Saccharomyces cerevisiae S288C: one gene and its partners. The gene in region 2 interacts genetically with the main gene of each other region. Each region holds a gene or a part of one and is shown on either strand. Other genes may lie near its edges. The genes, in order: EFM6, BIT2, HXT5 and RIM1.

Region 1 (8,027 bases), on a different chromosome or scaffold from region 2:
TACTTGTTTTATTGTAGATCCGAGCTGCTCCGGTAGCGGTATATTTGGTCGTAAGTTTTTTGACTCATTTAATAGAAGGAAAATTGATGATAAAGATGACGATGGTGGCATTGTGCCGGATGAGCAAGAGGAGTTTATAGCAAAGGAAGAACTACAGACAAGGTTAGCGAAGCTGAGTTCATTTCAGTTCCAGATGGTAAAGCATGCAATGAGTTTCCCAGCGGCTAAAAAAATAGTATACAGCACATGTTCCATTCATGCGGAAGAAAATGAACGAGTCGTCATAGACCTTCTTTTAGATAAGTCAGTTAGAGAATGGGGTTGGAAAGTAGCGCCAAAAAGAGAAGTTATTCCTTCTTGGCCTAGAAGAGGCAAGGTAGAAGAGTTCGAAGAGGTTTTTAGAGATGGAGTCACCTATGACCCTCAACAGCTTGCCGAGGGTTGTATCAGGGCACTACCAAAAAGTGACGGTGGTATTGGTTTCTTTGCTGTCTGTTTTGAAAGAGATTAAACTTTCAGAACATTCATGTATATATGTGTATATCTGATATGTATTATTGCATTTTTGCTGTAGTACTACGGAAAAGACATTTCAATAATCTATACATCCCGCACATAAAGGAAGATTTTCGGGTAATATACTATTATAAAAATTATCGATGAGCTCTGTGAAAAGGTCGTAAATATAAAAGTTCTTTCTTGCGACAGTGGCAACAACCAAGTGAAACAGCGTGAGACGAGACTGCTCTAATCTATTTGCAGTCGTAGGCATTACAAATGACCGAACATGAGTCTTTAGGCCTGGAGCAAAATCAAGACGGCGGTGACACTTATAGACATCACAACCTAAGCGATGGGTGTATTTCGAGTGTTGAAGACGCCAACGAGCAGCCTAGTTCGTATGAAGAGGAAAGTGATGATGATATGCAATATTACGAACGTGCGATCCAGGAAATTTCTAGCGGTGACTCATATGTTTGTATGATTTGTACAGTAGAGATGGATTATACGTGCCAAATGTTTGCTTGCAAGAGATGTTATAGAGTGTTTGATTACGGATGCATAAGAGAATGGGCGTTAAAATCAACGGAAAAAACCGTAGATAGAATATGGAAATGTCCAAACTGCTATTATGTTAGCAAAAGAGTTCCGGTAAAAAATCGGCCCACATGTTGGTGCGGTAAAGTTGTTAATCCTGATCCGAATCCGCTGGATCCTAACTCATGTGGACAAACCTGCAATGCTTCTACTTGTATGCATGGTTGTTCCAAAATTTGTCATCTAGGGCCGCATCCAGAGTGTACTAGAATGGTCGAGATTATGTGCCACTGTGGTAAGCATTCGAAAAGTATCTTTTGTTACCAGTCTAAAGTTATGAAAAAAAACTTCAACTGTCAAGAAGTATGTGGATTGCCTTTATCTTGCTCCATCCACACCTGTAAAAAGAAATGCCACCCTGGCTTATGTGGGCCATGTCCAGAAATGATAATTAGTAAAGATAGTCCGAAAAAGCAAATAAAATGCTACTGTGGTAACCACACTCGTGCTAACATAAAGTGTAGTGAAACAAAGTTTCCCAAGTCCGGTAAGTCGTCGAAGGATGAAAATGGGAACAGGTGGATAGGCGTGTTTGCCTGTGCAGATAATAGAGTTGTCGACTACTCATGTCGCAAGCATTCATTCATAGAATCTTGCATAAGCCCACCCACAATTAATGGAGAAAAGGCATGCCCATTTTTGCCTAGCTCTTTGAAAACTTGTCCCTGTGGCCGGACAGCCCTAGAGGAACTGACTAAGCCTCGTAAGCATTGTGATGATCCGATACCAACCTGCGACTCAAGATGCGGTAAACCACTAAAATGTGGCAAACATTCGTGCCCCTTCACTTGTCATGATAAAGCCTGTATGGAACCCTGCTTGCAAATTGATAGTGTAAAATGTGCTTGTGAGCAAAGTACATTTTCAGTTCCATGTGGATTTCAAGGAAGGCCTCGCTGCAATATTAAATGCGAATCCCTGATGTCATGCCGTAGACATAGATGCACCGATAGGTGCTGCAGTGGTAGGCCATCGGCGATAAGAAGGAAGAAAAACTTGTTCAGAACGCAAGATTTGTTGGATGAGTCTCTTGTGGAAGCAAAACATATCTGCCTAAAACCGTGTAACTTGACCCTATCATGTGGAATTCATAAATGTCAGAGAAAATGTCACCCAGGAAAGTGTCCGCCCTGTTTAGAGAGTGATTCGAACGATCTGGTCTGCCCATGTGGCAATACAGTTGTTCCTGCACCCGTGCGTTGTGGCACGAAGCTACCTACATGTAATCATCCATGTATTAAAGTTGTGCGTGGCGAATCTACGTGTGGTCATAAACCAATGCCACATACCTGTCATTCCTTGGATGTGTCGTGCCCGCCATGTACGGAAACCGTATTTAAACCTTGTAAATGTGGGAAGAAAACTAAAGTGAGAACGGTTTGTTTTCAAACAGACGTATCATGTGGAATAAAATGTGGGATACCACTCTCTTACTGTTATCATACCTGCCAAAAAACATGTCATTTACCAGGAAATTGCCAAAAGGTGTGTAAACAGACCTGTGGGCAAAAAAGGCTCAATTGTAATCATGAATGTCCTAAACCGTGCCATGGTAAGACAGAGTGTCCCGATTTACCTTGTGCCACGCTAGTGAAAATTTATTGTAAATGTGGAAGGATCAAAAAAAGTGTTACTTGTGGCGCAAAAAGTGATAGAGTAAGTGTAACTGAATCTTCCGTGCTGGATTGCAATGAAGAATGTGAAGCTTTGAAACGACTAAAGGAATTGAAGGAGGCATTTGGAATTAAGGAAGAAACCAATAATTTTACAAGTAATGAACTAGATGCGTTAAAAAAACTGGTCTCTGTTGCTACAACATTTGAAGAACTGCAGTTACCGTTTACAGAGGCAGCATTATCAGTATATTCAAAGCAAGAAAGATGGTGTTCACAAATTGAAGCTATTCTTAATAAATTAATGGACGATAAAACACGTTCAAGCTTGCATTTCAAACCTATGAGGCCTCCTCAACGCCACTTCATCCGTGAACTAGCCAAAGCTTACGGCCTATATTCCGAGTCTCAGGACAGAGAGCCCATGAGATCTGTATTTATTAAGAAAGAAGATAATGGCGCAAGCAATAAACCAGTCTTATCATTAGCAGAAGCTTACCCACTATATGAATCATTTAAACAATTGCAGAAGGAAAGGAAAGCACAAGAATTTCAAGCTCGCACCACAGCTAAACTAATCAACTTCGAGGTTCAAGATACGGAACCTAAAGTAGAGGTGGCTAAGAAAAATGGTTTTTTGGTTCAAAATTTGGTTGCTGGAAATACTGCCGAAGATCTAAGGAGATTTTTTGAACCACATCTCAAGCATACGTTAGTAGTGAATCCTCAATACCTAATCCTTGATGATGGCAAAACAGCACTAGTGTATCCTGAAAATTACGAAACAGCATCCGTGAATACCGAACGTGACATGGAGCTTTTGGTTGGACACTTCGATTTTATGGCCAAAGAGGCATTTTTGGCCGATTCCATTTCGTTGTGTTCAACTGAAGAAGAACTTGAAAGAAGGTTGGATACGCCCGTAATTCAAGAGGATAGTCCTGTAATGGATAATAATACATGAACTATAATAGCGTGTCATTATTTATTACGCGGAATTCTAATTAAATAGAAATATCTAACTTTTATTTTTTTTCATCCTATCTCATTTCTTGTTTCTCCCTGTCGTTGCTAAAATACGAGGATCTGCATATGTTTACATATCAACGTTCCCGTAAACGAATGGAGAATACTGAGTGTCACGTTAATAATACGGATATTATAATTTGGAAACCTAGTCAAGTAAAACCAGAAGAGATTTTTCTTTTCTCTTAAGCTTTTTTGGCTTGACCAAACGAAAAGTCCCTCACACCCAAACACTGAAAGTAATTCTTCGTATTTAAATAATTCAAAAGTTATGATGAGCAGGCTCTATGTAAAAAAATGGCCCATAATTTTCCCTAGAACGTTATAAAAACGCGACTAGTGAGGTATTGAGTATGGAGAGTATATTTGGTGGGTTTGGAGATCTAGTTGTTCCTAGGCCAAAGGAGCATCTCGGTCAAACAGACCTTTCCTTCGGTGGAAAATTATTGCCTGCATTGAAAATTTGTGAAGATGGCGGTGAAAGTGGTTGTGGCGGTAAAGTCTGGATCGCTGGCGAACTGTTGTGCGAGTACATACTCGAGAAATCAGTTGACCATCTGCTAAGTAAGACGGTCAATGGTACGAAACAATTTAAAAAAGTCTTAGAATTGGGTAGTGGTACAGGTTTAGTTGGATTGTGCGTGGGGTTGTTGGAAAAAAACACATTCCACGATGGCACTAAAGTATATGTTACGGACATTGACAAGTTGATACCACTATTGAAAAGAAATATAGAACTGGACGAAGTTCAGTATGAAGTTCTTGCGAGGGAACTTTGGTGGGGTGAGCCGCTGTCGGCAGATTTCTCACCTCAAGAAGGTGCTATGCAAGCAAATAACGTTGATCTAGTTTTGGCAGCTGATTGTGTGTATCTCGAGGAAGCTTTTCCATTACTAGAAAAAACACTACTTGATCTCACTCACTGCATAAACCCACCTGTAATCTTGATGGCTTACAAGAAGAGAAGAAAAGCTGATAAACATTTTTTCAACAAGATTAAAAGAAATTTTGACGTTCTTGAAATTACAGATTTTAGTAAATTTGAACATTATCTTAAGGAAAGAACCCACTTGTTTCAGCTTATCAGGAAGTAACCTGACACAGTGAATTTATCTCTTAATGATCCTGATCTTATTATATTTAGTAATGAACTTTTCGATAGACATTTGTAATTCATGAAAAAACGATATAACATTCATTTTTGTAGTGTGGTGTACGCATGGTGGGACTGCTCTTCTTGAGCGAAATTTTGATCTTCAATAGAGTGAGCAACGACAACTCAAGGATAAAGACAGAACAGCGGTAAACATCGTTTGCAAAATAACTAGAGAGCCGGATCGATTTACTTTGCAAAGTTGCGTCCTTTTTCCACGACAGAATATGTCTGCATTATTTAATTTTCGTTCTCTTCTGCAAGTGATATTGTTACTGATTTGTTCATGTTCTTATGTTCATGGGCAGTGGCCGTCTCTCCTAGATCGTTACAAAAATCATGAGGTTTTGGGGGCCTTCTGGAAAATGGCACGTGTTGGTGAAAGGGCCAGTCCATATGTTAGTTTAGCATGTATTTTGATGGCCATCAGTCAATTTAACAGCTGATTGGAAGATACTTAGTCATATGGATTTAAAGTTACGCAAATCAAGGTCATAGAAGGTGCAGTACCTTTTAAAACAAAGAGTATAAGTGGATTCAGACGAAGTGTCTCTTTAATTCTATCGTCTGATAGCGTACAAGTAAGGGTGCTATGAGCTAGCACGCACAGCAAAAATATAAACACTTTTGTATTTTTTTTTATTTTATAGTGTTTTGTGTTGAGTATTCATCTATTCGACCTCTATAGAGATTTAAGAAGGGAATTCATTGTCACAATAAGGACGCATAGTTGTTCATTTTAGACATCATTTACAGCACTTCCGTAAACTACCCCATATTGCGATTGAATACTACCGAAAAGGCTCAAGAATTTACGTGGTGCCCAATCAATTATATAGAATGAGGAACAATGGTAAGTAATGAATAATCATGGTCAGTAATAAAAAAGCAATCTCGTCCATGTTTCTTTTTGAAACTCAGAGCTTGACTCTGTTGCATTGGTATTTCATCATTTGATGAATTATTCACTATTCCATCTTCTTCTTACACAAGTTTACCAATAAATAACTCATCTGAGTTATTCAGACTTTTTATTAGATCAGTTCGGCATATTTAACTATGCAAAAGTTTTACACTGCTAAAAAGTAGTGTAAACAACAAACTGTTAAAAAAATAAAAAGGGGTGAATCCATGGACCAAGAATAGTAAGCTCCATTGGGTTACTCGATCCAGCACGGGAAAGAGCAATCGTCATAACTATGGTTTAGATTCCATACAAACGGAATCCAGTACCGAAGAAAACACCAGTACCCTGCAATAGAGGTACCAGGTCAAGAAGCAGAATACCCAAGGGCATCCTCCTTAATGAGTTGATTTAAACAATTTAAAATTTTTAAATCTCATTACGTTTTCCGCATACGAATTGGTGGGAGACTTTCAACCCAAAGCATATTACTGAGTAAAAAAAATTTTACTCCATTTTGTAAGCTTCGATTTGTGACGATTCTTTGGTCATGGATTGAAGAACTTTAAACGAGAAGAAATTAGAAAACAGGTGAAGACCACTATTTAGTTCTTTACCGCAACATAGGATAAACAAAGTTATTTTCTTACTCCTTTATATATTTGAAAAAATATAAAATCCACGGAAAAACATCGAAAATTCATTTTTCATGAAGGAAAATTAGGGTTCATACAGGAGTAGAGTTCATTGATGTGGTAGCAACCTTGTTAGCACTCATATTGTTCGAACAAAAAATGCCCTCTCAAACTTTAGTTGAAGAGCGATAAGGCATCTGAATCTCAAAAGTTAGACATGTCGGGGAGCTTCTGGACATCTACACAAAGGCATCATTGGCAATATACCAAGGCATCATTGGCTAAAGAGAGGCAGAAGTTATGGCTATTGGAGTGCCAGCTGTTTCCTCAAGGTTTGAATATTGTAATGGATTCGAAGCAAAACGGCATCGAACAATCCATCACAAAGAATATACCAATAACTCACCGAGACTTACACTATGATAAAGATTATAATCTAAGGATCTACTGCTATTTCCTGATAATGAAGCTTGGAAGGAGACTAAATATAAGACAGTATGCACTGGCTACAGCACATATTTATCTATCAAGGTTTTTAATAAAGGCTTCAGTTAGAGAAATAAACCTATATATGCTGGTTACTACGTGTGTATATTTAGCATGCAAAGTTGAAGAATGCCCGCAATATATCAGAACTTTGGTAAGTGAAGCCCGTACCTTATGGCCCGAATTTATTCCTCCTGACCCTACTAAAGTTACTGAGTTTGAGTTCTACTTACTAGAAGAATTGGAAAGTTACTTAATTGTCCACCACCCTTATCAATCCTTAAAGCAAATTGTTCAAGTCTTAAAGCAACCGCCATTTCAAATAACACTATCGTCAGATGATCTACAAAACTGTTGGTCCTTAATCAACGACAGTTATATAAATGATGTTCATTTGCTTTACCCTCCTCATATTATCGCTGTTGCATGTTTATTCATTACGATTTCCATTCATGGGAAACCAACCAAAGGATCATCGTTAGCATCTGCGGCTTCTGAAGCCATCAGAGATCCTAAAAATTCTAGTTCTCCTGTTCAAATAGCTTTTAATCGTTTTATGGCAGAATCTCTTGTAGATCTTGAGGAGGTTATGGATACGATTCAAGAGCAAATTACATTATACGATCATTGGGACAAGTACCACGAACAATGGATAAAGTTTCTGCTACATACTTTGTATCTTAGACCAGCATCTGCAATTTAATCATGCGAAGAATAAATTTAAAAACCGTTAAGCCTGTAAATTCAATCATTATGGTGGTGATGATCCGTTTTGGAAATGTTTCGTCCTTGACTACCTTTGTTTAACATGATATTGGAACGTCAAGACATATTGAGAATAGGTACCGTTATAATGCATAATTAAAAATTGCTTTGATATTGAGGTGGAAAGCTGGGTCGGACCTTGACATGTATTAAATTTAAAGAATCGAACCTAGTGTTTTTTTCTCCAGTGTTCAAAAAATCCTTTCAATTTGGTCTACTGCAGTAGCCCACTTATAACACACATTCAAGATGGGTGAACCGTGGCTCAAACTTCCCCATTTTTCAGAGTATGTGCAACCACAAAACCTTTGTCAGAAATTCTTATGGCAGGCCAAATTGATAAACTA
Region 2 (8,474 bases):
TGTTTGGCAAACTGAGAGGTTCGACAAGAAAAGGCTCGATAAGAGAAGTGCCAAGTTCGTCAATAACCAACCACACTACAGAGACCAACTTCTGCAGTAATTCTTTTTGCACTACTTTTTTTAGTATTTTGTCGCATATATACTGCTTCACCATTTGTACATTAGATAATTCTTCACTACCCCCTCTATAGCAATGTTATAGTCATTGAATCATGCTTTGAAATGCCTGTTCTAATATTCTCTTCATATAATAAATGCGTGATGCCGGGTATTTGTGCGCCCTTGTTTGGCGCAAAAATCTCGAAAGTGAAAAAACTAATAGGCTTCTTAAAGCAGTTATATCTACAGCAAAGGAAATAGCTGCTGAAGACTGAAGATGTTGGCGCGCAGTTTGGGTTACAGGTTGATATCGACCAGTCGTATCTTATATAATAAACCCACGGTTAAGTCAGTGGTGTCGTCGTGTCCTGCGGGAACATCGCTTAACTTAAACATATGGAAGAGCGGTAAAGACGCAGTGGCACTCGAGGACAAGGAGTATCCAAATTGGTTATGGAGCGTATTGGATAGTGATCACGTTGTCGAACATGCGGCTGAGGACCCAGAGGGACAGGCTCTCTTAAAGAGAAGAAAGAACATAAGGAAGGCGAACAGGCAGCGAATCAAGCAAAACAATTTCTTGAGCCAACTTTAAGCCTCCGTTAATAAGATCAAGTTTGGTATCCTTGTAAATAAATATGTGTGTACGTGGTTAAATAGTATGTTTTTAGCATAATGCCTTATTTTGTACCAACAAAAACATGATAGTTCCCACATATCTTTTCGCCTGGGGAATACCAAGTGGGACAAACAAAACGTTAAAAATTAAATCCTTTAGAGTACCACAAATTCGCAAGAAACAAGATAGTTGAATTGTCAATCATGGCTAAGATAAGTATGAATGTGCCCAGTGTAAAGATCAAAAACATGCCAAAGGTAAGGTTAAAAAGCACTAGAAAGACTGTCTCCACGAAAAACATGCGAAATAGGTTCAATTCATACTCGAAAAGAATTCGAAGGACGCTCACAAGAAAGAGATTTTAGGCAAACATGAAACGTATGCATTTCATAACACACACATATATATATTATATATTCAAAATAAAGCATAACAACATACATATTGAAAAGTAAATTGAACGTTACGCAGTTTCATCAAATAAGAATAGTATTATTAAAAATTGGCCGGACCAAATATCTAGAAATCCGTTACTCTTCCGTTAAACGAATAATCGCCGTGTCTCAACGGGTCCTGCTTGGGACCCCCAACTTCACCAGTCTTGGGGTTAACATCACCTTCGAATTCAGGTATGGTCTTGGAAAATTCAGGCGAGAATGACCCAATATCGTTTTTGGTTAAAAGCGGTGAATTCAAACTCTCCTTTGTACGATCGCCGGTGGCCTGCGCATTATACTGATCTATTGCCTCTTGCGATGTGGCAATCCTCTGAAGTCTTTCGAACTCTTCCTGCTCTTCTCTTGGCAGCTTGGGAGGGCCGGGGATCCTTTCAGTAGTTATTTTTCGGGTGGCCATATTAAATGGTCGTCCACGTAGTAGATTTAAGGCTCCCGTGCGAGGATACCGATAACCTGTGCTTTTGATGGCGCACAACATTAGTTCTTCTTTTTATTATTTGGTTCTTTCTGACTCTTTAGCAAGTTAATATGATCTGCACTTTCCCCATTGGCCCCTTTATAGGGCGGAAAAGAGCATCTGTTTTTCCGGATTCTTGGAACAAGAAAAAGGAAATACACCTATCTATATGCCACTATTGTATATTACTAAATAAAATATTTAATTATATACTCATGCGTATGCCCTCAAGAAGTTCACCAATAATTCTTTGGTTTCTGCTGTTACCTTTTATGGTATTCAGGATCCCAAAACACTGCAGCAGCGTCAGTTTATCTTCCTCTGTGACGCCGTTCTGTTCTTCCTCGCTGAAAATATATCTTTGAAAACTCTTACTGGCACCGTCATTTGTATGTAGGAAGCTTTCGTAATACGGAAGAATGATGGAGTCTCTAAAACACTTTAATAAAAGGACATCAATTGACGGTGCGTACCTTGAAGGTTCAGATAGATATCCGTCAAGCCAGTAGTTACTATTTTTTTGGAAGCTTTTCTCGAAGGGCAGTAACACTGCCATCATGTCGTAGTAAACCTGTTGGTAAAACACCTTCCAGATTATGCCGACTCTTTTCAAAGCCGTATTTACGGTATCCTCATTGGCATAATTGAACACAATCTGGTTCTCTAAAATGTAAAGTGAAGTGGTAATGAATTCCTCGATTTCGGCCAAAAACCTTGAGTGCGTTACGGCAGCCTTGGTTTGTGTTTTCAAAGTGATATAAAATTCCAGCAGCCGGTCAATATCTTCTATTTTTGCTGGCAATTGCCATACCCTCTTGTTTTTAAATAGCTCCACAACTATGCTGCAGTATATACCCCAGATATTCCCCTCCAGAACAAATAACTCCTGTACGGTGAAGCTTTTATAGTTTGCTATCAAGGATGGCAAGTTTTTCAGTAAATCATGTAGTAAAGAAACATTAGTCGCGTCGAAAGCATCATCTTGGATCAGCGATAGAGCTGTATCATTAGGGTTGTTGTTAATGCTAGGGTTAAAGGAATATACAGATTTTCCAGAGTCAATAAGGCCTCCAGTAGAAGTATGGATAAACTGTACGGGTGACCTATGTTTACCATATGAAGAATGCAGAAATTTACTGAATGGGCTGGGAACTACGGGTTCAACGTCGTCTTTACCAATGGAATTATGCGGCTTGTAGGGTAAAAGCTTTTTTGCCATTTTGCTAAAGACATTACTGCCTTTGTTTGAATGAGAATGTCCTGTAGACAGTGAAGATTGTAAACTGTTCACACTCATATTAGATTTCGTATGAAACAATTTAGAGCCACTCCTACTTATGTTGTTACTACTTGTGCCGGTAATAACAGTGCCGTAGTTTTTTGACCCGCTCCTGCTTCGATTTCTCATATTATCTTTTGAATTGGTGAAGATGGACAGTCGCCTTTTATTGCCCCTTGAGTTGGAAGAAAATAAACTATCATTAGACGTGGTGTTCCCCTCCATTCGGTTACTACTTGATGAACCTATTTCGGAGTGACCATCGTTATTCTCCGTGCCTTGGCTGTACTCCTCTTCAATCGAATCCGTCGAGCGCCTTGCATTGGAACCATCATGGAATATAGATTGAAACCCCACCTGTGACCATCTAGGAGCGGCATCATGAGGAGATTTGGATGTTTTTAGATGCACATCTTCGTCGGGATGTGTCAGCGCTTGCGGTACTATATCAGAAGAAACACTATAAACTCTAGCTGGTTTGCGATTAGTTGCTTTTATGTTCGGGTTCGTGACGCTCAGTGAGCCTGAGGTAGCACTTCTTTTACGATTTAGGTCTGTTGCCATTGCTTGACTCTGTAGTTTAAGACTCGCCTAGCCACTTATGCTTATTGTGGTTTGTATTTTTTATTTACTGTCTTCTATCTTTCTCCCTTTAATTTTGACCTTATTTTAAAGCCCGCAAAGATCGCTGAAAAATTGCTAGTAAAGGTCGCATGCAAAATGGATAAAGTGCTCTTGTCAAATTATTTCAACACCTTCATTCGCAGTATAGTGGTATATTGGATTGGGTAAAGGAAAACAGGCGACACCAATATTGGTTTAAGCTAGTAGCGTATGCAGCTCTATCCAGGCATTAAAATTGGTTCACCTATTTCTGATAGTAGTTTTTTTTTTTCCAATCGTAAATTTTTTCTTCAATTTCGCGATGAGCTACAAAATAATAGTAGTGCAATCTGTATATTACTTTTCAAGTATCTAACTCATGCAAGTTAGGAGTTCCATAGCGGATATTTCACTATGTTTGATCCTCTCGATTTGTACACCCCTGATGACATCCAGGTTGAGGCTTTACAGTTCAATCTAGCAGAGAGAGAGCCAAAAGATCCTTGCTCACCGCAACGTGACGAAATATTAACGGCTGTAGATGAAGAAGAGAGTGACGACGATGACACCATTATCGATAATCTGGATCTGCCCTCCGTGAAGTATGCTCCGCCAGAAGTTATCCTTTGTATACTAATACTTCTGAAGCCCGATAGACAAGTAAACTTCAATCAGGAGACAGGGAAGAACAAATCTGTACTGGAGGTTTGCAAGAGTCATGGGCTGGAACCCGATCTGCTGAAAAGACTTTTGACTTGGTATACAGAAGAATGGCCTAACAAGAGGTTAAACTCGTTGGAAAAGATATGCAATAAAATCCCAATGCTGAGATTTACAGTATCCAAAGAACTACTGTTGGGCTACTATACTAGTGTATTGAAAAAATACAATAATAGTTGCGGATTGAATGAGGAAATCATACAAGAACTTCTTAAGGAATTGAGCTCAAGGATATCCGAAAACTGTGGGAGAACGGCCCAACCATCCATAGTAAGATATTTTGAATTAAGAAATCTAAGCACTTCCATACCGCTTCATGAACCCTCTTTAACGGCCGATAATCTTGGTTGGAAAACATGGGGATCATCTTTAATACTTTCACAATTAGTCGTAGATCACCTGGATTACCTACATACCACTAATGTGAACATGTTAGCGAACAGCGACATCAAACAGATTAAAGTATTAGAATTAGGAGCGGGCACTGGTTTAGTAGGACTTTCATGGGCCTTAAAATGGAAAGAACTTTATGGAACTGAAAATATAGAAATCTTCGTGACGGATTTACCCGAGATTGTGACGAATTTGAAGAAAAATGTGTCATTAAATAATTTAGGAGATTTCGTTCAAGCAGAGATATTAGATTGGACTAATCCTCACGATTTTATAGATAAATTTGGACATGAAAATGAATTTGACGTCATATTGATCGCCGACCCGATATATTCGCCTCAGCATCCGGAATGGGTAGTTAACATGATATCGAAGTTTTTGGCGGCATCAGGGACCTGTCACCTAGAAATACCTTTAAGGGCAAAATACGCCAAAGAACGAGAGGTTTTGAAATTATTACTAAAAGAGAGTGATTTAAAAGTAGTTGAAGAACGGCATTCAGAGGGTGTGGATGATTGGGGTGCCGTTAAGTATTTATATAGGCAAATCGTTCGCAATTAGTGGGAAAGAAACGAACGCGCTTAGGCGAATAGTTTTTCTTTATAATAAAAATCATGCATGCTACATAGACATTGAAATGTGAATTATAAGTACTTGCCAGACCTTACATACTGATTTATACAATTTATGGAGAAGAAAACTGAATGGGCCACCTCGCCAAAAGGTTAGTTTTTGATTCAGACAGGAATCAATACTGGTAGTACATTAAACAATCAAGGCCGCCTTTATAGTTGCGCTTATGCAACATAATCATCTGCAATCTGCAATCTTAGTTTCACTGCCTGTGGAATAATTTTTTCCGTTAACTGCTTTGGAGTATTCTCGCAATAAAGGTTCATACCATACACTTAACTTTTCTTCACCTTTGTCCAGTAAATTTCTCAAGGCAGAATTCCTATAATGCACAGTCTCAAGATCTATAATAGCACCTGCGCTCCCATCACCTATCAAGCTGCCCATCACCTTTGGCATCTCATTGAGCAGAAATTTTGAAGTGTATTCGTATCTCGTCAAGGTTTCTACTACTTGCATTTGTTCTAAGTACGGTAGTCTTAAGACAATCTCAGCACTAAACTTGTTTCTTATAGCATTGAAACATTCTTCATCTGCTGAAAGATTTCTCAACATTCCAATGCTGTAGCCACTGACGTGAAAATAGTTTTCGACCACATCTTTATGATATTTTACCAAGTACTGCGGATTAATTAATTCCAACCACTCGGTTATTAATTTTGCTTCGGACCCAATTTTTAAAGAATCTTTGTCCATAGTCTTGAATAAAGAATATTCATCTTCCTCAATTCGTGACACCTCTGCGAATAACTGTAAAAGACAATTTGTAGAAAAGGCCCTGACATCAGGATAGTTCTCCGTGTCTTCAAAAAGTTGAGCAAATACTGGCAGTATTTTTTTTACATGTCTTAAAGCCCAGTATTTATCTTGATTTCGTATTTCCAGCAAAAACTTAGTATAATAATTAACCAATTCGATGAAAACGAGGATATCTTCAACGGATTTCAGTATCTCTTCTTTAGTAAAGCAAAATATGATATCCTTGAACTCAGGACCGCTGATGAATTGAAACTCAATAGTCAAGAAGTCAATTAATCTGACAAAAGAAACCGTTTCCATTCTACCCTTTACGCTCACCAGGTATGGCAAATTATTATCAAATAATCGACGCCTAATCAATTCATCTGTACTCAACCTTTCCAACGCTTTTTCGATTGCTGTAATGAGCTTATCATTCTCCACTTTCTCATCAAATAGAATATCCAATAGAATATCGATGATATTACTGGTCGCGAATAAACCCTTTGGCTGCGAATTCTCAATGACTCTACATGCTGCTACTTTTAATGGATCTATTTCTGACCTAAGGGCCTTCACTAAGTCCTCCGCGCTATAAACTTCTAGAACATCGTCAAAATCAGCCATGGGAACAAGCTTGTCCACAACGTCCAAAAGGTAATCGTAATTCAATGAATCATAGGATACGTTAGACGTCAGAAAACGCTTGATCGTAGCCAGTAGTGGTTTAACATCCATATCTGGAAGGGAGACAACAGTCACAAGATTCAAAGAACATTTCCTTAATAGTGTGTTGATATCTTCAGGCAAGTTATCTTCATTAAGTTCATTTTCTAATTGCGTAAGGAGATTTTCCACGTAATTTGTTTCTTTCTCACTCATTGCTCCTGTTTCGCTGAGTTCTTTTGCGGTGATTATAGTTGTAAACTTGTTTTATTTTTAATCCCGTAATTAAGGTGTTTATATAAACTTACTCTTCAATTTTTCTATATGCATTTGAAACAGAAAAAAAGATATAAAAATACCAGCTATAACAAAAATCCATGTAAATAAAATTACTGTATATTTTTTTATGTAATCTAATCAAAAAAAATTCACGTCTAATACTAGTCATAAATGGAGTTGAAGCCATTAACTACTTATTTTTTATCTTCGTCCTTTTTCTTTTCTAAATGGACATTATTACCATTAAAGGTTGTTGGGTCTTCAGGATCTTCTTGATGATCGTTGTTAACAAATTGGAAAACATTTGGCGAGACAGAACGTGACGTAGTAAGGTTGGTTTCCGATGGGTACCTGGTTCCGCTAGGTGTCAGCATTGGTGATGCATGAGCAGATGATTGAACTGGTTCCCGAACATTGTTGTATTGGAAACAGCTTGACGAAGCAGCTCCAGATAAAGGTGTTGAAGACCTCACTTCGTGACGATTCGGCTTCGATGTTTCCTCACGTTGTGATGTTACTTCAGGATCTTTATCGTTGTGCCACCACGTAGAGAATCCCTTATAAAGACGGCCCAAAAGGCTTGGTCCCTCCATCCCAGTCACAGATAGCCCCGAGTTTTGAGTTTCTAGTGGTTTAAGTAATAATGCAGACCTTGGAGTTAGTTCTAGTGTCTCTAGCGTCTTCAATTCATCAGAATCCTTAAATGTCACTCTGGGAATGCCCCTGTGGAATGAGTACGGGCAGTCTCCATCTGTCCTGTTGACGTCCACCCATTTTCTAACGTCATTTAATGTTTCAGACGAGTTGAACTCATGTTTTAGAGTCTTGCCATCAGTCATCCTGATTTGCAAGACGCATTTGCTGCTGTGCAGTTTTTGTGCGTCTTTTATGTAATCATGAACATCCAATGGCTTATCATCATCAAGGGTTCTGTGATGAGTTTCATCAAGAGCTTTTCTTTCTGCACGGTCTGCCCTAACAAGTCTTATAATTCTTTCTCTTTCCTCCTCAGCCAGCTTTCTTTGTTTCAGTTGTTCACGACGTTGGATCTCTAAGGTAGTCTCAGCAATCCGTTCTCTTGCATTTTTCCTATGGACGTCTCTGGATGACTTTTCTTCTCTAGCCAAACCTGGATTGGTTTCCCTGGACGAACTCTCACCAGCCTTTTTGTCTTTGATGCCTATGCACGCCAGCAACTTCTCCCAATGTCGGTCATCCTCGCCTTGAATAATCAATTCTATCTTTCCAGCACGTATCAAGTATATACTGGGTACAACTACATTAGGAAATACTTGCTCAAATAACTGGAACTGCTCAGTGTCTTTGACCAACCTCAACCAAATACTATGTTCCGCTAAAGTATCTAATGAGACATCATCTCCTTTAAACCAACTTTTCAGCCACTGGTCATCCCGTGCAGTGTTGTAAACGGCCAGCACAACGCCTTCCTTGATGGAATCGTTTATTGCTTCTTCCACAGAATCTCTAAACAGTGCTTCTAACATTTGGTTACGGCTGTTTGGTTTAGCT
Region 3 (8,940 bases), on a different chromosome or scaffold from region 2:
AACTCTCCATTGGACAGAGTTTGAGTAATTCTTGGTACCAAAATTGGTACAGTAACCTAAGAAAATACCTAAAGTAATCATGACTTGGTAACATGAAACCAAGGTGCCTCTCATTTCACTGGGGGCGACCTCAGATATTAGCATGGGAGATAAAACTGTGATACCACCGACACCTAAACCAGAGATAATTCTACCAATGAAATATTGGTACCACTTGTTGATCGAGGCTATTTGAATAATGATACCGATAGTGTAGATTACTACAACGACAATCAAACCGATTCTACGACCATACATATCACCTAGCTTGGCTAAGACGATACCACCAATGGCACAACCAATGTTAAAAATAGAGACAATTAAACCAGTTCTCACCTTGGACAAGTAATGACTACCGTCGTGGTGCTTCATACCAAATCTTCTTAGAAAATCAGTTTGAGCAACAAAACCAGAAATGGTACCAGTATCCCATCCAAATATGAAACCACCGAAAGCAACCATAACACAACAGATAGAAACCGTTACGTAGACACCTTTTCCGGTGTTTGGAGGGGCAACGGCGGGTTGCACTTGACTTTCACTTAAGTTGTCGTGAAAACTTTCATTTTTACCTTCTGGAGTATTCATGGCCTTTGAACGACCAGATTCCAATTCATATGAGTTGGATGAATTGGATTTCTGAGGAGATATTAGATCGGGAGTTGAATTCATGATTTTACGTATATCAACTAGTTGACGATTATGATATCTTTATAGATTTTAAGGTGGGGAAAGAACATGAGACCCCAGATGGAATTGATTATGGGGACATTGTTGCCTTTATATATAATTTCAATATACTAATTCAAATGATTAAAAACGTGAGGGGGACACGCAACTTCGGGTGTTAAGAAATATTTTGCTACATTAGATAATGGTGGAGTTTCCTGGCTTGTCGGATAAAAGCCATCAAATGTCGCAGCAGCTCATGTTTACGTTTGCTGTCTTCTGCCCACGTCATATGAGTGGTATTCTTCTATCAGCACTTGATGAATATTCTTTTTCTCATATATCTGAAAGACAAAAGATCGGCACGGCAATGCCCTGCAGCATTTCTTCCTAGTTTTTCCGAATTTCCATTACGTATTGGATCTTGTGCGCATATTTGTCAGTCCTTCACGGAAAAAAAAAAAGAGCACTGGGTCACTTCGGAAAAACTTTTGACTCAATGCAACAGTGTCATAATCCTTTGCGCTGTCTCTTTGAAGAAAAATCAGGAGTGCAAGATATCGATTAATTCCTTGGAAGTTATGATGGTTAGTCTTAGTTTAACTCTCTTGAAGAAGGGTTTTTTCAGTTGGTCAACACTCTTTAGAGGTAAAAAAAAAAAAAAAAAAAAAAAAAAGAGAATTCTTCATGTAATTTACCATGATTCTACGTTTTTGCAAGCAAAAATGAAGATAATCCGAGCGCATGCGCAAGTAGTCCCTGCCATGCCGCTTCGGAAAAACTTTCGAAACCAATACTCCTTACATCCGCCTTGAATTTAGGACCTACAATTGTTGTCTCTTCTGCTTGAACCAATAAGCCCTAGAAACCTTACACCCTAATTTGCACAAGAAAACTACGAAAAAATTTTTTCCTCTTTTTTCCGCAGCTCCAATCTCGCCCTGCTATTTTTTTGGTTCGGAGAAAAATAGTCGGTCGATATGAATTGAAGTTTCATTGTGGCCACTCGTTTAGGAATGGAATAACCTCCGCGAATGGAAAAAAAGAACTCGGAATATCAAAAATTCCGGCTCAAAGGAAAAATTTGCTTCAGGAGGGGGGAATTATATTCCAGATGAGACCTGCAAGGATTTCTGTGTGAGGTTTTCTCGGAGGAATAATAGTTTTCCAAAAATTACTTTTGGCAACTACGTGAATATAATTGACTACGGATATCCTTCGAGAAGGCCATAAAAAGAACCGTGACAGGGCCAAACAGAAAAATAATGAAGACAAGTTTGCTTTTTCTCTCACTGTATTTGAGGATCGGAAGCTTTTTGCACTGAAAATATTCTGGGTTAACAAGGTTTAAAGAAGCAAACTGCCACAAAGTATATGAGAGTATAACCGGACGGTACCTATACTTTGAAGTTGGAATAAATACGGGGTAGACAAAAAGGATGTGTTTCTGTATGTCTGATGAGAATGATGTCATCAAAGAACGTAAACAACAGTAACTGTCTATATTCTTGCTTTTTATTATGCGCTGTTACAGCAGGTAGCGGAGTTTTCAGTTCTTTCCCTAGTATGTAGTATGAAGGATAATACGGTAAAAGAACGGGGCTCTTGATTCATCATATAAATTTATTTTCCCCTGTTGAAACCTCGAGTAACCGTCCTCACTGTTTTATTACCAAGGATGAGCTCGAGCAGTTGTAAGAGAGAAGTGGGCAGAAAAGTATAAGTAACAAGAAACGATATACAAGTTCTTGTTGTTAGGCGTAGCAACCCTTTCTCCCCTGGTTTGATCCTACTTAAAATAAAGAAAAAAAACAAAAACGTCATGATGATTTTGATATTATTAGACATACGTAATTTAGTTGAATTAAAGGAATAACAGGCAGCCCTATTAACCACGGACAAAATATCTCTGCATATGATTGCATTATTTGTAAACTATGAATGAACATATGAACGAAAACGATTAATATTAATATTAAAATTTGAAATGGTGCAATGCTGAACATTGCAAGTATGCGAAAATAGTTGATCCTACACTACAAGAGATTATTTTTCTTTAGTGAACATCCTTTTATAAAATGGTCTCGGATCATTTCTAGTAGCGTCTAGGTCATAATCTGTTGTTCTCCTAGATGGTGGGATCCATTTGGTAGACTTCCAAGGTAGCACATTTTCTTCATACATTTCGTTGACTTCTTCTAATGTTAAGCCCTTTGTCTCTGGAACAAAGAAGAACACATAAAAGTATGCGAACACCATACAACCCATAAAGACATAGCCATAATAGAAATTGATTGCTGAAGTAATAAATGGAGTGAAAAAACTGATCAAGAACCCCCAAATCCAGTTACAGGCACTTGCAATCGACATTGCTTTACCACGTACTCTTAAGGGATACGACTCAGAGATAAGGACATAGGCAACGGGGGCCCAAGTGGTAGCGAAACAGAAAATGTAGAAACATGCGAAAACAATCATACAGTTACCAGCACCCTTTGAAGATGGTTGATCTTGACCGTTTGGCCATAATCTGGTAACACCAACAGAGGCATAGACGACATAGCAACAAATCATACCTACACAGCCCCATAACAAACAATTACGACGACCAAAACGATCGACGGTATATAGCGAGAAAAAAGTCGAAACAAAATTAACAACACCCAAAACAATAGCAGTTTCAAATGAATCTTCCAAACCAACAGCCTGGAAAATTGTAGTACCATAGTAAAAGAAGTAATTGTCACCTGTCAGCTGTTGTAAAGATTGAATCATCATACCCATTAGTGTACGTCTGAACATCTGGGGCTTACCAGTAACCAATTCCCCCCAAGAAGCAGAGCCCGCCAATCTCTCAGCTTCAATAGAAGACTGATAGTTCTCCATTTCTAAAGTTACTAAAGGAGAGTCTTCAGTGGTTTTGTTAGCTCTTGCTAAGGACCGCTTGGCCTCTTCAATTTTTCCCACTTCTACCAGATAACGTGGGGATTCAGGAACGAACGTCATACCAACAATCATAAAAATAGACCATGCAAAGCATAAGCCTAATGGTACCCTCCATTGGACAGAGTTTGAGTAATTCTTGGTACCAAAATTAGTACAATATCCCAAAAAGATACCGAAAGTGATCATTAATTGGTAACATGAAACCAGAGTACCACGCAACTGCTTAGGCGACACTTCAGAAATTAGCATAGGCGCCAAAACTGTAATACCACCAACGCCCAGTCCTGAGATGATTCTTCCAATGAAATATTGATACCATTTGTCAATGGAGGCGATTTGGATGATGATCCCAATTGAGTAAATGACGACAACAGTCATCAGACCAATCTTACGTCCATACATATCACCGAGCTTTGACAAAACTATACCTCCGATAGCGCAGCCGATGTTGAAAATAGAAACCATCAAACCGGTTCTGACATCGGAAAGATAGGTAGTCCCGTTTGCACGGGTGCTGCCAAATCGCCTAATGAAGTCTGTTTGCCTGACAAAACCAGATATAGTACCAGTATCCCACCCAAACACGAACCCACCAAAAGCAACCATCAAACAGCAGACGGATACAAATAGTAAATCCGACTTCGATTTCTTCTCTAGTTGTTTGTCAACCTCCTTCTGAAGCTCTTCCAGTTCGTCTTTGGGAGGGCCTTCATGGGAAATGTAACTTGAGACGGGTTTAGCTTGTGCCAAATTATCGTTGTAACCGGCGGTACCAGGAGCAGTCGAGTTTCCTGACTTCTCGTTGTATGAGTTAGAATTTGTGCTCACAGTAGCAGACCCTTCCAAGGGGCCTTGATGAGCGTTTTCAAGTTCCGACATTCTTTCTTTACCTCTAATATATTCTTTTTTCTAGAAAAATAATATTTTTTGCTGGTTTTAACAAAGCTATGAAGTAAAATTGCAAAGTGAAAGCGAATCTTGTTTGCGTATATTATATATAGAAAAATTATTCAATCGACTTTTCTCTTTCTTTTGATAGTTTCTTATTCTTAGAGGGAGAACCGTTCGACTAGCATGAAAAGAAAAGAGAGAGACTCTTTTATACGTGAAATCAAAAAGAAACCAAACTTGAGGTACTCTACTAATGATTCTGGCCCTCCTTTCTTGTTTACTCCGTGCCCCTAAAACTAATTAACCCATGCCCATATATTCATCCACACGACCATTAATATTGAACATAAAGATATCATTTCACCAAGCAGTACTTCACTCAATAACAAGGTGTGAAATCCGGTATATTATTCCATCGCTATGAGTGCGGGATCAGAAAGTGAATTACTTACTGTCCCCTAATGTGCACAGCCACGGGGAATGCGGATCAACTGCAGAGAAAAGGGCGCACAGAGTTAGAATGCATCCCTTAATCCGGGAAGTAACAGTAACACGTCATGCGGATGTTTCTTCGGTGGGTATGGGTCACAATTTCGTCCACCAGTACATCACAGCATGCTCTCATTTCTTTACTTTTTGCTAGCAGATGATTACTTTCATTTCGGGTGGGATGGGCCACCTTTTTAGTTTATCCTCCGGGATGCCTTAAACAAGAAAATGGAACAGTGGGGATAAGACCCATAAAAAATCCGAAGTGATAAGTATTGATTGGTATATTCCCGTATCGGAGACCTTAACATAACATAGTGTAGTGATTTTGCGTATAGAAAAGTAACCAATAAAATAAGGTAAATATTGCTATATGAATGTAATAAATAAAATAATATATGGGCGCAACAAAAAGAACGCAAGAAAGAAGCATTGATCAGTGCTTTTTACTAGTTTTCAAGCTTTTCACCCTCCTTAATAGCTTGTTGCCGGTGTTTTCCTTTTTAACAACATCTTCGTGACCGCTTCCTTGGGTGGCAGTGACCGGAACAGAAGTTCTATTATCGTCTACGTCCTTTTGCTCCAAGTGTCCACTATGTGTTTTCACTAGCTTTAAATTGTTGTTGTTCACTTGTAGATGTCTTCTTGAGGGGAGAGACTTTTTTCTTGCTATGCTGTTTTTCCTACGAGATTCTTGTGCGTGGTTGATAACATCTTGCTCTATGGCAGCGGAAGACGCTGGTGCGCCATCCAGGAACGTCGTTGAGCCTAGACCCATCGTAATGGGCCCATGGACTAGTTCAGTTTTCATTTTGGAATCGAACTGGGTAATATTTTTTGAATTCGGTTTAATCGCATCCAAAGTCGTAGTACTGGAATTGGCCTTATTGAATAAATATGCTCTATCTTGTAGTTGGTTCAGCGTCTCAGAATCGTCGTCTACTGTTTCCCTACCAAACACCTCATCTAAGGTAGACTTCTTACTTGTGCGGCCGCCTACTGTATTATTTGGACCATCTGCTGGGAAGGCCAGTACAGGCGCCACTTTATTATTCTTATTTCTCTGTGGAGTGCATGCATCAAAGGGGCCGTCATGATGGAAAGATCCGCCAAATAATCCTGTAACATCCATCTTGTCAATAGTGTCTACATTTTTAGGGGGCTTAACCTTGGTTCTGCTTTTGCTCTTCTGCTTATCTTTGTCCCTATGTCCGTGTGATGTACGACGATGGTGGTGGTGGTTGTGTTGGTGACTATTTGAACCACTACTGCGTTTCTTTTCTTTTGGGTATGGAGCTTGCTGTTTCGGTGTCCCCGCAGCTTCTTCATATGATGGGAGTCTTTCTTGTCTAGAATTGGAAACGCTACTGTTATGGGCCCTCCTAGTGTCATCTTCATTTAAAAATGGGTTACTGCAATAATTATGGATTATCTCAATCGATTTTGAAAGGAGAAAAAGAGTTAAGTTAGTATTCTGAAGTAGTCATGACTGTTAGTTACACTGTAGTGCAATTTTGGGAGTGGAGCTACACATACTTATAATTCCTGGGCGTTTCATCCCTGCTTGATACTCTGTCCTCTGAAGGAGAAACTCTGAAGGGGTTAATCACTGTATTCACGCCATTTTGAGGACCGCCTATGGTCCTTCCTGTTTGATTCATTTGCGTCTGTTTGATATAGTATTCTTTGGAAAAAACGCTTCTGAAATACAAAATAGTAGTAATTTTGCAAGATTTACCAGAAGACAGTCAAGAAAAAATAAAGATAAAAGAGGAAGCAAAGCTACAGTTTTATCCCTGTAATTATGAGATTCTCTCATCCTATGTAGAATTTCACCCTTTCTCTGCCTGCGTTTCACATACTGCCTTTTTTTTTTTTTTGGCAGTATTCTCAGCATAGTCAGCGTTTCGCTGCCGAGAGCCCTTCTGTGGCTGGAACCCCACCAAAACACGAACCCAAAAATACTTCTCCTGTATTCCCCTTGATCAACGCCTTTCTACATGAGGAGGCGCAGGTGAATGCAGAAAGGCACAATATAGCCAACACGTAAAAATCACAATCATATCAGTCTATTCATTCATTTACGTATTTAATTATTTAGTAATGGATATACGAACCGCATCGGCCACAGCCACAACAATATGTCGTTATTTCCAGTTTTCTGCGTGTAAGCACAGGGTCTCCTTTGAGCGAGGCTCAAAACTGCACAAATTTTTGATGGATATTTTCGTGAGTTGCGGCAGTCGAGACTTTAATGAAATCGTCTTTTTGAAGTTTTTCTTGAATTTTTTTATGCATTATCACCAAGTAATTGTCATATGATTCGATTCTGTTGACGGTCTTGTCCTCGCAAAGCAATTGACTCATCACATTACTGTAATATTGATCAACATTAGGCCTCAACAAGACTAACGGCAATGATGACTTGTTGACTACTTGTTGCCAGTTTTTAATGACGTTTGAAGCCTTTTGATTAATACTAGTGCCCGTCTCAGGCAATGTTCCACTAAATAACGAAATTTGGCTGACGGGCAAGGATTCATCCACTGACAGCAGGTCTTGCAAGAGCATTCTATTGGTGTTCTCATTAAACCATAGATAGATAGTATCACCTTGGAAAATCAAGTAGCAACCGCCGTTAATGAAATTAGAGTGTGAGGCTCTTACAGATAGATTATTAATAGAGCTGGAGTTGATCTGTAATAATTTATCATTAGCATCGTAAAAGGTCAGATCAGTTTCCTCTAATAATACATGGAATGGCACAATTTGTGGATAAAGTTTGTAGCAAAGTTGTGCTGAGTTCAATGAATCGTACTTCAATAAATCATAAATTCGTTCATTACCACGGGTACTTTGAGCGTTTGGCTTCATTAATTCGCTTTTTTCAAATGCTAACATGTAAGCAGGCAATGTCTTTATAGAATCCGGCAGTATCAATTGCGTTGATGAGTTACTGCTAACCAATCCTCTATATTGGGTCAAGATTTCGACCATCTTGTCATCAATTAATCTTCTGATCTTTACAAAGTCACAATCACCGAGCGTCTTTATGACATCTTTGATCATTATTCTCATGACAGGATTTTGATTTATAAACTTGAAAATTTCACGAATGTTATTAGATACCGCACCTGACGTGTTAATAGAACGAACTTTTCTGACACCATCAATATCAGTATATAACAATGCAGTTTGGAAATGAACATCGGTTCCTGTTTTTATTTTACTGTCATATTTTAGTAAGACATCTAAGGTGGTATCTCTAGTCAATACAGGAATAATTGGATCATGATCCGTATTATCAGATGAATCGCAGTAGTACTGTTCCACAGATAGCCCAGTAGAACAGCGAACTTTCAATAAAGCTTGATAACCAACAATATTGGAGACATTTGTAACCATGTCGTTAACCAAAGTGAAGGCATCCGTCTCTTGTTGAAAGTGGGGATAATATTTCAAAATACCGGAAGTCATCTCTACAGGATGGCCCACAGTGGCCATATCAATGAATCCCGCATTGGTCACATATAAATCTAAAGAAATGTAGGATTTCAAAAAATCCGATGCTAATTTCTTATAGAACCCATTGTCGCATTTAACATGAGCAATGTGTGCATTGTCCCTTTTTAGCGATAAATTCCCGTTGCCGATCGTTGGCAAGCTGTTCAAAGAACAAATAATCTTACCACCTTGCCCGCCAGTTACTGTGTCTAACGCTAATTTTGCGGCTTGTAAAGCAGAACCATAACAGACTTGGGGTACGTGACTATACTTGTCGGTGGAGATGTAACCACTAATTTTTATCAATGTGTCATTAATGATTTTCATCGAGTTTCCGGGTTTAACAAATAATCCATTATAAAATGGTAAGAAAACATCGTCCAATTCACTTACAATGTACTC
Region 4 (7,455 bases), on a different chromosome or scaffold from region 2:
TCCATACGCTGCTATGTTGGCTGCCCAAGATGTTGCCGCTAAGTGTAAGGAAGTCGGTATCACTGCCGTTCACGTTAAGATCAGAGCTACCGGTGGTACTAGAACCAAGACTCCAGGTCCAGGTGGTCAAGCTGCTTTGAGAGCTTTGGCCAGATCTGGTTTGAGAATTGGCCGTATCGAAGATGTTACCCCAGTTCCATCTGACTCCACCAGAAAGAAGGGTGGTAGAAGAGGTAGAAGATTATGAGTTATGCATGTATTGTACTTGTATTGCCGTATTATTTTTTACAGTTAAAAAATGTGTACATATAATTATATAGCGCCCATAATCAAATCAGCTCATACGTCAATTTAGTAATAAAAAAAAGCCCTTATAACCTTTTAGTTAAGAAGATTCAAGATTGCGATTTGATTAACGTCATTACGGAAATGTAAGGACACAATTACCAAGAGTTACAAAATCGGTTCAGAGATTTAAAACTGTCGAAAACACTGTAATCATAAAGTTTGAATGCTTTCAGATACTATCTAGCATAAATTGTGTTTAAAAAAATCATCATTTTAGAATTTTGTTGACAAGAACATCTGGTGAAGCAGGCTACCCCTTTTTAAAATACGTGGAAAAAAAAATGACGTTCTCGTCATTGTCATCTTCCATGTCTACGCCTTTTCGTGTCCATTTCATTCTATTGATTAACTTATTAGACATCGGAGGGAAGTTTTTCCACCTATGTTATATATGTAAATTTTTTTTTGAAGGAGGCGCGCATAAAATAATCTCACACTATTTTGAACATTGCTTAGGGTTGAGTGGGGAGTAAAGAATAAAGCGAATCCTATTCGTGTAAGCCGGTCTACTTATTGATAACAATATTTTACAGGCGGCTATCATGTTTCAGCTTACGCATTCACAGTCAGGTTGGTGCTCTACATGAATACCAGCGTTTACTTTCATTTACAGAGTACTAGCACCTCCACTGTCGCTAATACTGAATTTAGTTTTGAAGAGTGAAAACAACTAAATCAGGCGGTAGAAGAAAATCAATAGCTCATATATTCTTATATATTACAGGTGATATTTGTATATGATTATGAATGGCTTTTCGTAGCCCGTGATCTTTCATTTCTATATTATGTGTAGCTAAAAGGGCCCCTTAAGTACTTGCAGATTGAAAAACTCTATATTGCATTCAAGTTTTCACGAAATACAAAGAAAAGGTCTCGTAGTTATTGCCTTAATAAAGGAATTACTTTTGCTGTAGTCGTATTGAAGCAAGCTTATTTGAAAATTGCGAATAATCACCTCTCATGACGGAACAAAGAACCAAATATGCAGATAGCATATTGACTACTAAGAGTCCTTACGAGGCTACCGAAACTATTAGAATCAGGTTATCGCAGGTCAAATTGTTGAATAAAGACTTTTACCTGTTATTTAAGGAATTGGCAAATCTGAAGAGGAACTATGCTCAGCAATTGAGAAAAATAATAGCTGAAAATGAAGATATAACAAAGATCTTAAACGCTCAAATGATTGAAAGTAATGTTTTGACTCCGCAGGAAATGAGTGCATTCAGATTCAACTCGCTGGGAGAGCTAAGAAATGTATGGGATACTGTAATTGAAGAACTAAAATCAGATTTGAAGTCAAGTACAGAATACTACAACACTTTGGACCAGCAAGTCGTTCGTGAATTGAAGGAATCCGTGGAGAACAATACTAGCTGGAGAGAAAGCAAGGACTTACATTCCAAGCTTAGTAAAAATGCAGCTTCAATTGAGCACTATAGTAAGAATAACGAAAACTCTAGTCACTTAGAAGAGGCAAGAAGGCAATGGGACCAGCAAAGCCCCTATTTGTTTGAGCTGTTCGAGACTATTGACTATAACCGTTTGGACACTTTAAAAAACTGTATGCTTAGATTTCAAACCAGTTTTAGCGATTATTTACTAAATACTACCAAAGAATGCGAAACGGTGATGACGAAATTCCTGGCATTCGAACCGCAAAGTGAAATTGATCGTTTTGCCAAAGATGCCAGTCAATACAACTTCCAACTATCCTCTTCTTCCAAAGAAGTAGTTCCTAATAATGCTTCGCCAGCTTCTGCCACTGGTGCCCGCCCGGTCTCTGTATCCAATGGTGCCGCTAATACGGAAAGAGAAAAGAAATCCCCACAAAAGGATAAGCGTAAGAGTGCATTTGGAAACATTGGACATCGTCTTGCCTCTGCATCTTCCAGTCTCACTCATAATGATCTCATGAATAACGAATTTTCAGACTCTACTAATAATTCTTCCTTGAAATCAAAAAAGTCGTCCCACACCCTAAGATCTAAAGTGGGCTCAATTTTCGGTAGAAATAAGACCAAGAACAAGAGACAACAACAATCATCATCAAACTCTCATATTCAGGCATCCATCACTGAGACTCCGAATAATTCTTCCACCAGAGTGTCTTCAACTGCAACTTCTTCTATTTATCAGAAGCAACGTCGACCCACCTATTCATCATCAAAATCAAACAATTGGACCCCGGGTGAAGCTAGTGACACTCCTCCTCTTCCTCCCCATGCTACTCCTAAAAACGTAGATGCACCTGTTACTGCCGATACACCACCTGCGCAAACTTTTACTCCTTCTGAAGTGCCTCCTTCAACGCCACAACAAAGTTCTCCACCCACTGCGAAAGAACCAGACTCAAGTAACTTACCCAAGACAGTACCGATATCAATTTCTCAACCTCCACTTCAGCCACAATCAAAAACAAAACCATTACCAGTTGAGCCTGCCTCTCCCAGTATTTCACTTCCTACTGCTACGGTTGATAACCAACCTTCAGGTCAAGTTGATTCAAGGCCCTTGCATATCCGCGCACCTGCTTTACCACCCTCAAGGAAACAAAATTTCATTCATAACAGGGATTCTCAACTCTATGACTCTTTGCCTAATCACGGCTCAGGCGCTACCCCTACTTCTTCTTCCTTGTCCTCTATTCCCCAGGAACGTCCAGTTTCCACACTCTCCTCTCAGATTACTGGCGAGCTAAGAGAACTAAATCCTCAAGCCACGGGCTCTTCAACATCTTTAGTTGGTCAATCGTTGTTTCAGCACTCCTCTTTAGATACATCTCAATTTGGGTTGAATGCTAGTATCGCAGAAGTGCTCAATGCTTCTTTCAAAGACGGTATGTTGCAGAACTCCCAACTGATTGGGGAAATTGCCCTCAACTATTTACCCAATTCTGTCATGAATTCGCCTTTACCTATCGGTATTAATTTGAGAATCAATAATGGCGCTAAGTTCGAAAAGGTCATTCTGAACCAAGCCTTTATTGAGCGTGTTGCTCCAGAAGAATTCAAAGTTAACCCTTCATTTATCGATTCTAGAACCTTAGGAGCTATTAAATATTCCATAAAGGAGCCGATCGCGCCTATTGTTATTCATCCGGTCTGGAGATTTGAATCTCACCAGGCAAGTGTTGTATTGACTGTCAAGATGTCACCAAGCTTACCCGATGAAATATCACAAATCGTAATAGAAGACCTCGTTGTCTTTGTGAATATCGATGGTGCTAATGCAACAAGCGCTTTATCAAAACCTCAGGGCTCCTTCAGTAAAGAAAAGAAGAGAATAACGTGGAGATTTAAAGAACCAGTTGTTTTGACAAGAAATGGTGAAGGTCAAAGATTAATCGCCAGATTTATTACAGACGGCCTGGCACATGAATCCGCTAAAGGCGTGATTACCAAATTCACTATCAGTGAGACGGATAACGTGGCTCTACCCCATAGCGGAGCCGGCAGTGGAATCACCTTGACTTGTCAGGAGCTGGATGAAAACAATCCATTTGGTGGTGAGTGGCTCGATGTAAACACAAAAAGAACTTTGACCACTGGTAACTACCATGGTCTCGCTTGATATTTCTGCTATGCTTCTATTTTTCAATATTAATTGTTCTTTTGTTTGCTAATCCATAATTTATGGAGGTGGCGCCGCTAAATCATATTTTCCTTTTGAAACCTTTGTTTAAGACTTACGTAGAACTACACTTATGTACTATAATGTTCTGTAAAGATTCTGTATTTTCGTTCTTTTCTATTCCATTTTTCGGACTTTTAGGACTTTTCATCTAATACTTATTATTTGTGGAGGAGTGCTTAAAAGGCGTTTGCGCCCAGACGAAAAAAAAAAAGCTAACACAGTAGTTGAGAAAGACAAATACCACGAATTTGATAACAAGTCATTTGCTAATTGTGTGTCCTTGACAAATACAAAACAAACAAAAATCCACTAATCCATTGTAATGTTTTTACGTACTCAAGCTCGTTTCTTCCATGCTACTACCAAGAAGATGGACTTCTCGAAAATGTCCATCGTCGGCCGCATTGGCTCTGAATTCACTGAACATACTTCTGCTAATAACAATCGTTATTTGAAATATAGTATCGCTTCGCAACCAAGAAGAGATGGCCAAACCAATTGGTATAATATCACCGTTTTCAATGAACCTCAAATCAATTTTTTGACAGAATATGTTAGAAAAGGGTATGTTATTTATTCTTCAATTTTACTTACTTTACAATTACGCGTTATAATTTACTAACATTTCCTTTCCATAATTTATTCAGCGCTTTGGTATATGTTGAAGCAGATGCTGCTAACTATGTCTTCGAGAGAGACGACGGTTCTAAGGGTACTACTTTGAGCTTAGTTCAAAAGGACATTAATTTATTGAAGAATGGGAAGAAATTAGAAGATGCTGAGGGCCAAGAAAATGCTGCTTCTTCAGAATAATTGTAATATTTACGCTTGCTTATTTCGACTCTTCCTCGATATTTTTTATCTAGAGCATGCTTTCTTTTACTTAAAATATTTATGGCAAATAGGAAAAATACATTTGGAATAACGAACTAGTTATGTAAAACTATGCTTATTCTCAAATAGAATGTATATATACTATAATATATTGGTTAACGTGTGTTATGCAAAATGCTTTTTGATGATGAAATTTAGCAAAAGAGGAGGAAGCTTTAGCGAATTTAACATATCCTTCATTGTTACAAAATTGCCTACACCTCCATTGATCCATGCAGTCCGATTATTGTAGATTTTGAGTAGTCGATCTTGAAAGGCATTTTTGACGAATTACAAGAACTCAGCATCGATCAAATCTTCTACATGCGTATATTGTAAAGGAAGACATCGGCTCTTAAGAGAAATGAGGCGGACCTGTAATTCTGATATAAAAGTATTCCGATTTATTCAAGATTGAGAAGCTGTTTTCAGAATTTTTGATTGGAGAGAGCCTGGGCCTAAGTCATGATGAAGGAATCGAAATCTATCACTCAACATGAGGTTGAGAGAGAATCTGTTTCTTCCAAGCGTGCCATTAAAAAGAGATTACTTCTGTTTAAAATAGACTTGTTTGTGCTATCATTTGTTTGCTTGCAATACTGGATTAATTATGTCGACCGTGTCGGTTTCACCAATGCATATATATCCGGTATGAAGGAAGATCTTAAGATGGTCGGAAACGATTTGACCGTGTCTAACACAGTTTTCATGATTGGTTACATTGTAGGTATGGTCCCCAATAATTTAATGTTATTGTGTGTTCCGCCCAGGATATGGCTAAGTTTTTGTACGTTTGCTTGGGGTTTATTGACCTTGGGAATGTACAAAGTTACATCGTTCAAACATATTTGCGCAATTAGATTCTTTCAAGCCTTATTTGAGAGTTGCACATTTTCAGGAACACATTTTGTTTTGGGTTCGTGGTATAAAGAAGACGAATTGCCCATTAGAAGTGCTATTTTTACAGGTAGCGGTTTGGTGGGATCTATGTTCAGTGGATTTATGCAAACAAGTATCTTTACTCATTTGAATGGGCGGAATGGCTTGGCGGGTTGGAGATGGTTATTCATTATTGATTTTTGTATCACATTACCCATTGCAATTTATGGGTTTATTTTCTTCCCCGGCCTTCCTGATCAAACAAGTGCTGTTAGCAAATTTTCTATGACGAGATACATTTTTAATGAACAAGAGCTACATTATGCTAGGAGAAGGCTCCCCGCTAGGGACGAAAGCACCCGGTTAGACTGGTCGACTATTCCTAGAGTCTTAAAAAGGTGGCACTGGTGGATGTTCTCTCTTGTTTGGGTTCTGGGAGGTGAGAACTTGGGTTTCGCATCTAATTCTACATTTGCATTATGGTTACAAAACCAAAAATATACGTTGGCGCAAAGAAATAATTATCCTTCGGGGATATTTGCCGTAGGTATAGTTTCTACGCTTTGTTCTGCTGTATATATGAGTAAGATCCCAAGAGCTAGGCATTGGCATGTTTCTGTTTTCATATCATTGGTAATGGTTATTGTTGCGGTACTAATACGTGCAGACCCACTAAATCCAAAAGTCGTCTTTTCTGCACAGTATCTTGGAGGCGTAGCATACGCTGGACAAGCGGTTTTTTTTTCGTGGGCAAACATTATTTGTCATGCAGATCTTCAAGAACGTGCTATCGTTCTTGCTTCCATGAATATGTTTTCAGGGGCCGTTAACGCATGGTGGTCTATATTATTCTTTGCTTCAGATATGGTGCCCAAGTTTGAGAGAGGTTGCTACGCCCTCTTGGCTACGGCAATATCAAGCGGAATTGTCTCGGTCGTCATACGCTCACTACAGATAAAAGAGAATTTGTCTAAGAAACAGGTTCCTTATATAGATGCTAATGACATGCCCGGAGAAGATGACGATGACGACAACCAGGATAATGAAAATGATGGCGACGACGAGAGTATGGAAGTTGAACTTCATAATGAGGAAATGGCCGAAATTTCAAATCCTTTCCGATAGATACATTCGATTCTTTTAGCTATTCATTGGTCCTGTTGATGGTAATGGAAAATCTCAGGGCTCTTTTCAAAAGTATCATGAACAATAGCCGCTAAGACACTTCTAAAGAGGTCTACTTAGTTTTTCATCATGCATTTTTCGATTTCTGTTTAACTAATCTTTCTTTTCTTCCTTGCCAAGTGCAGGACAATTTCTAAGTCTATGTTTTTAAAAGCTTCTTGCTAACTTATTCGAAAAGGTTTAGTAAGTATTTTGTTCTCTGCTATGCGTTCACGCACTCTGCTATTTTCTACTTCTTGGTAGAAGTTAAAGTAAGTCAACTAATTACGACACCATGTCTGATGCATTTTAGAAACTTCAAATTTCAAGATTATTGTGACACGAAAAATTGGTTATTTTATGAAACAATGTAAGGAAAGCATTAGAATCTCAGGCAATAGAAGAGACCAAGAAGGAGCGAGAACTTTTTTTTTCACTGACAGAGCTTTACCAATCCACAGACAATTGCCAGGCCATGAAAAGATCTGTTCCAATTTTTCCTTTATCTATCCTCTCAGAAGATTGTGAACTTGAGTGACCTGAGCAGGTGACTTA

The links.
Region 1: mutations in BIT2 (region 2) and EFM6 together harm fitness more than expected from each alone (negative genetic interaction), as found in Saccharomyces cerevisiae (2 studies listed by BioGRID).
Region 3: mutations in BIT2 (region 2) and HXT5 together harm fitness more than expected from each alone (negative genetic interaction), as found in Saccharomyces cerevisiae (2 studies listed by BioGRID).
Region 4: mutations in BIT2 (region 2) and RIM1 together harm fitness more than expected from each alone (negative genetic interaction), as found in Saccharomyces cerevisiae (2 studies listed by BioGRID).

Annotation. Positions count from the first base shown.
Region 1 is NC_001146.8:583,911-591,937, reverse strand, and holds EFM6 (putative protein-lysine N-methyltransferase), read left to right. Parts: upstream 1-4,090; coding exon 4,091-4,831; downstream 4,832-8,027. Other genes in the region: rRNA (cytosine-C5-)-methyltransferase RCM1, read left to right, coding at 1-511; FAP1 (Fap1p), read left to right, coding at 778-3,675; KSH1 (Ksh1p), read left to right, coding at 5,118-5,336; cyclin-dependent protein serine/threonine kinase regulator SSN8, read left to right, coding at 6,647-7,618. UniProt on the Saccharomyces cerevisiae protein: S-adenosyl-L-methionine-dependent protein-lysine N-methyltransferase that methylates elongation factor 1-alpha (TEF1 and TEF2) at 'Lys-390'.
Region 2 is NC_001134.8:740,923-749,396, forward strand, and holds BIT2 (Bit2p), read right to left. Parts: upstream 3,477-8,474; coding exon 1,839-3,476; downstream 1-1,838. Other genes in the region: REI1 (Rei1p), read left to right, coding at 1-100; mitochondrial 54S ribosomal protein mL54 MRPL37, read left to right, coding at 377-694; SDH8 (Sdh8p), read right to left, coding at 1,238-1,654; EFM2 (S-adenosylmethionine-dependent methyltransferase), read left to right, coding at 3,930-5,189; HSM3 (Hsm3p), read right to left, coding at 5,439-6,881; UBX7 (Ubx7p), read right to left, coding at 7,139-8,449.
Region 3 is NC_001140.6:291,915-300,854, forward strand, and holds HXT5 (hexose transporter HXT5), read right to left. Parts: upstream 4,534-8,940; coding exon 2,755-4,533; downstream 1-2,754. Other genes in the region: hexose transporter HXT1, read right to left, coding at 1-711; PAL2 (Pal2p), read right to left, coding at 5,471-6,446, 6,571-6,695; SFB3 (Sfb3p), read right to left, coding at 7,231-8,940.
Region 4 is NC_001135.5:170,292-177,746, reverse strand, and holds RIM1 (Rim1p), read left to right. Parts: upstream 1-4,306; coding exon 4,307-4,548; intron 4,549-4,631; coding exon 4,632-4,797; downstream 4,798-7,455. Other genes in the region: 40S ribosomal protein uS11 RPS14A, read left to right, coding at 1-247; SYP1 (Syp1p), read left to right, coding at 1,309-3,921; FEN2 (Fen2p), read left to right, coding at 5,323-6,861. UniProt on the Saccharomyces cerevisiae protein: This protein binds preferentially and cooperatively to single-stranded DNA (ssDNS). Involved in mitochondrial DNA replication. Stimulates PIF1 helicase activity.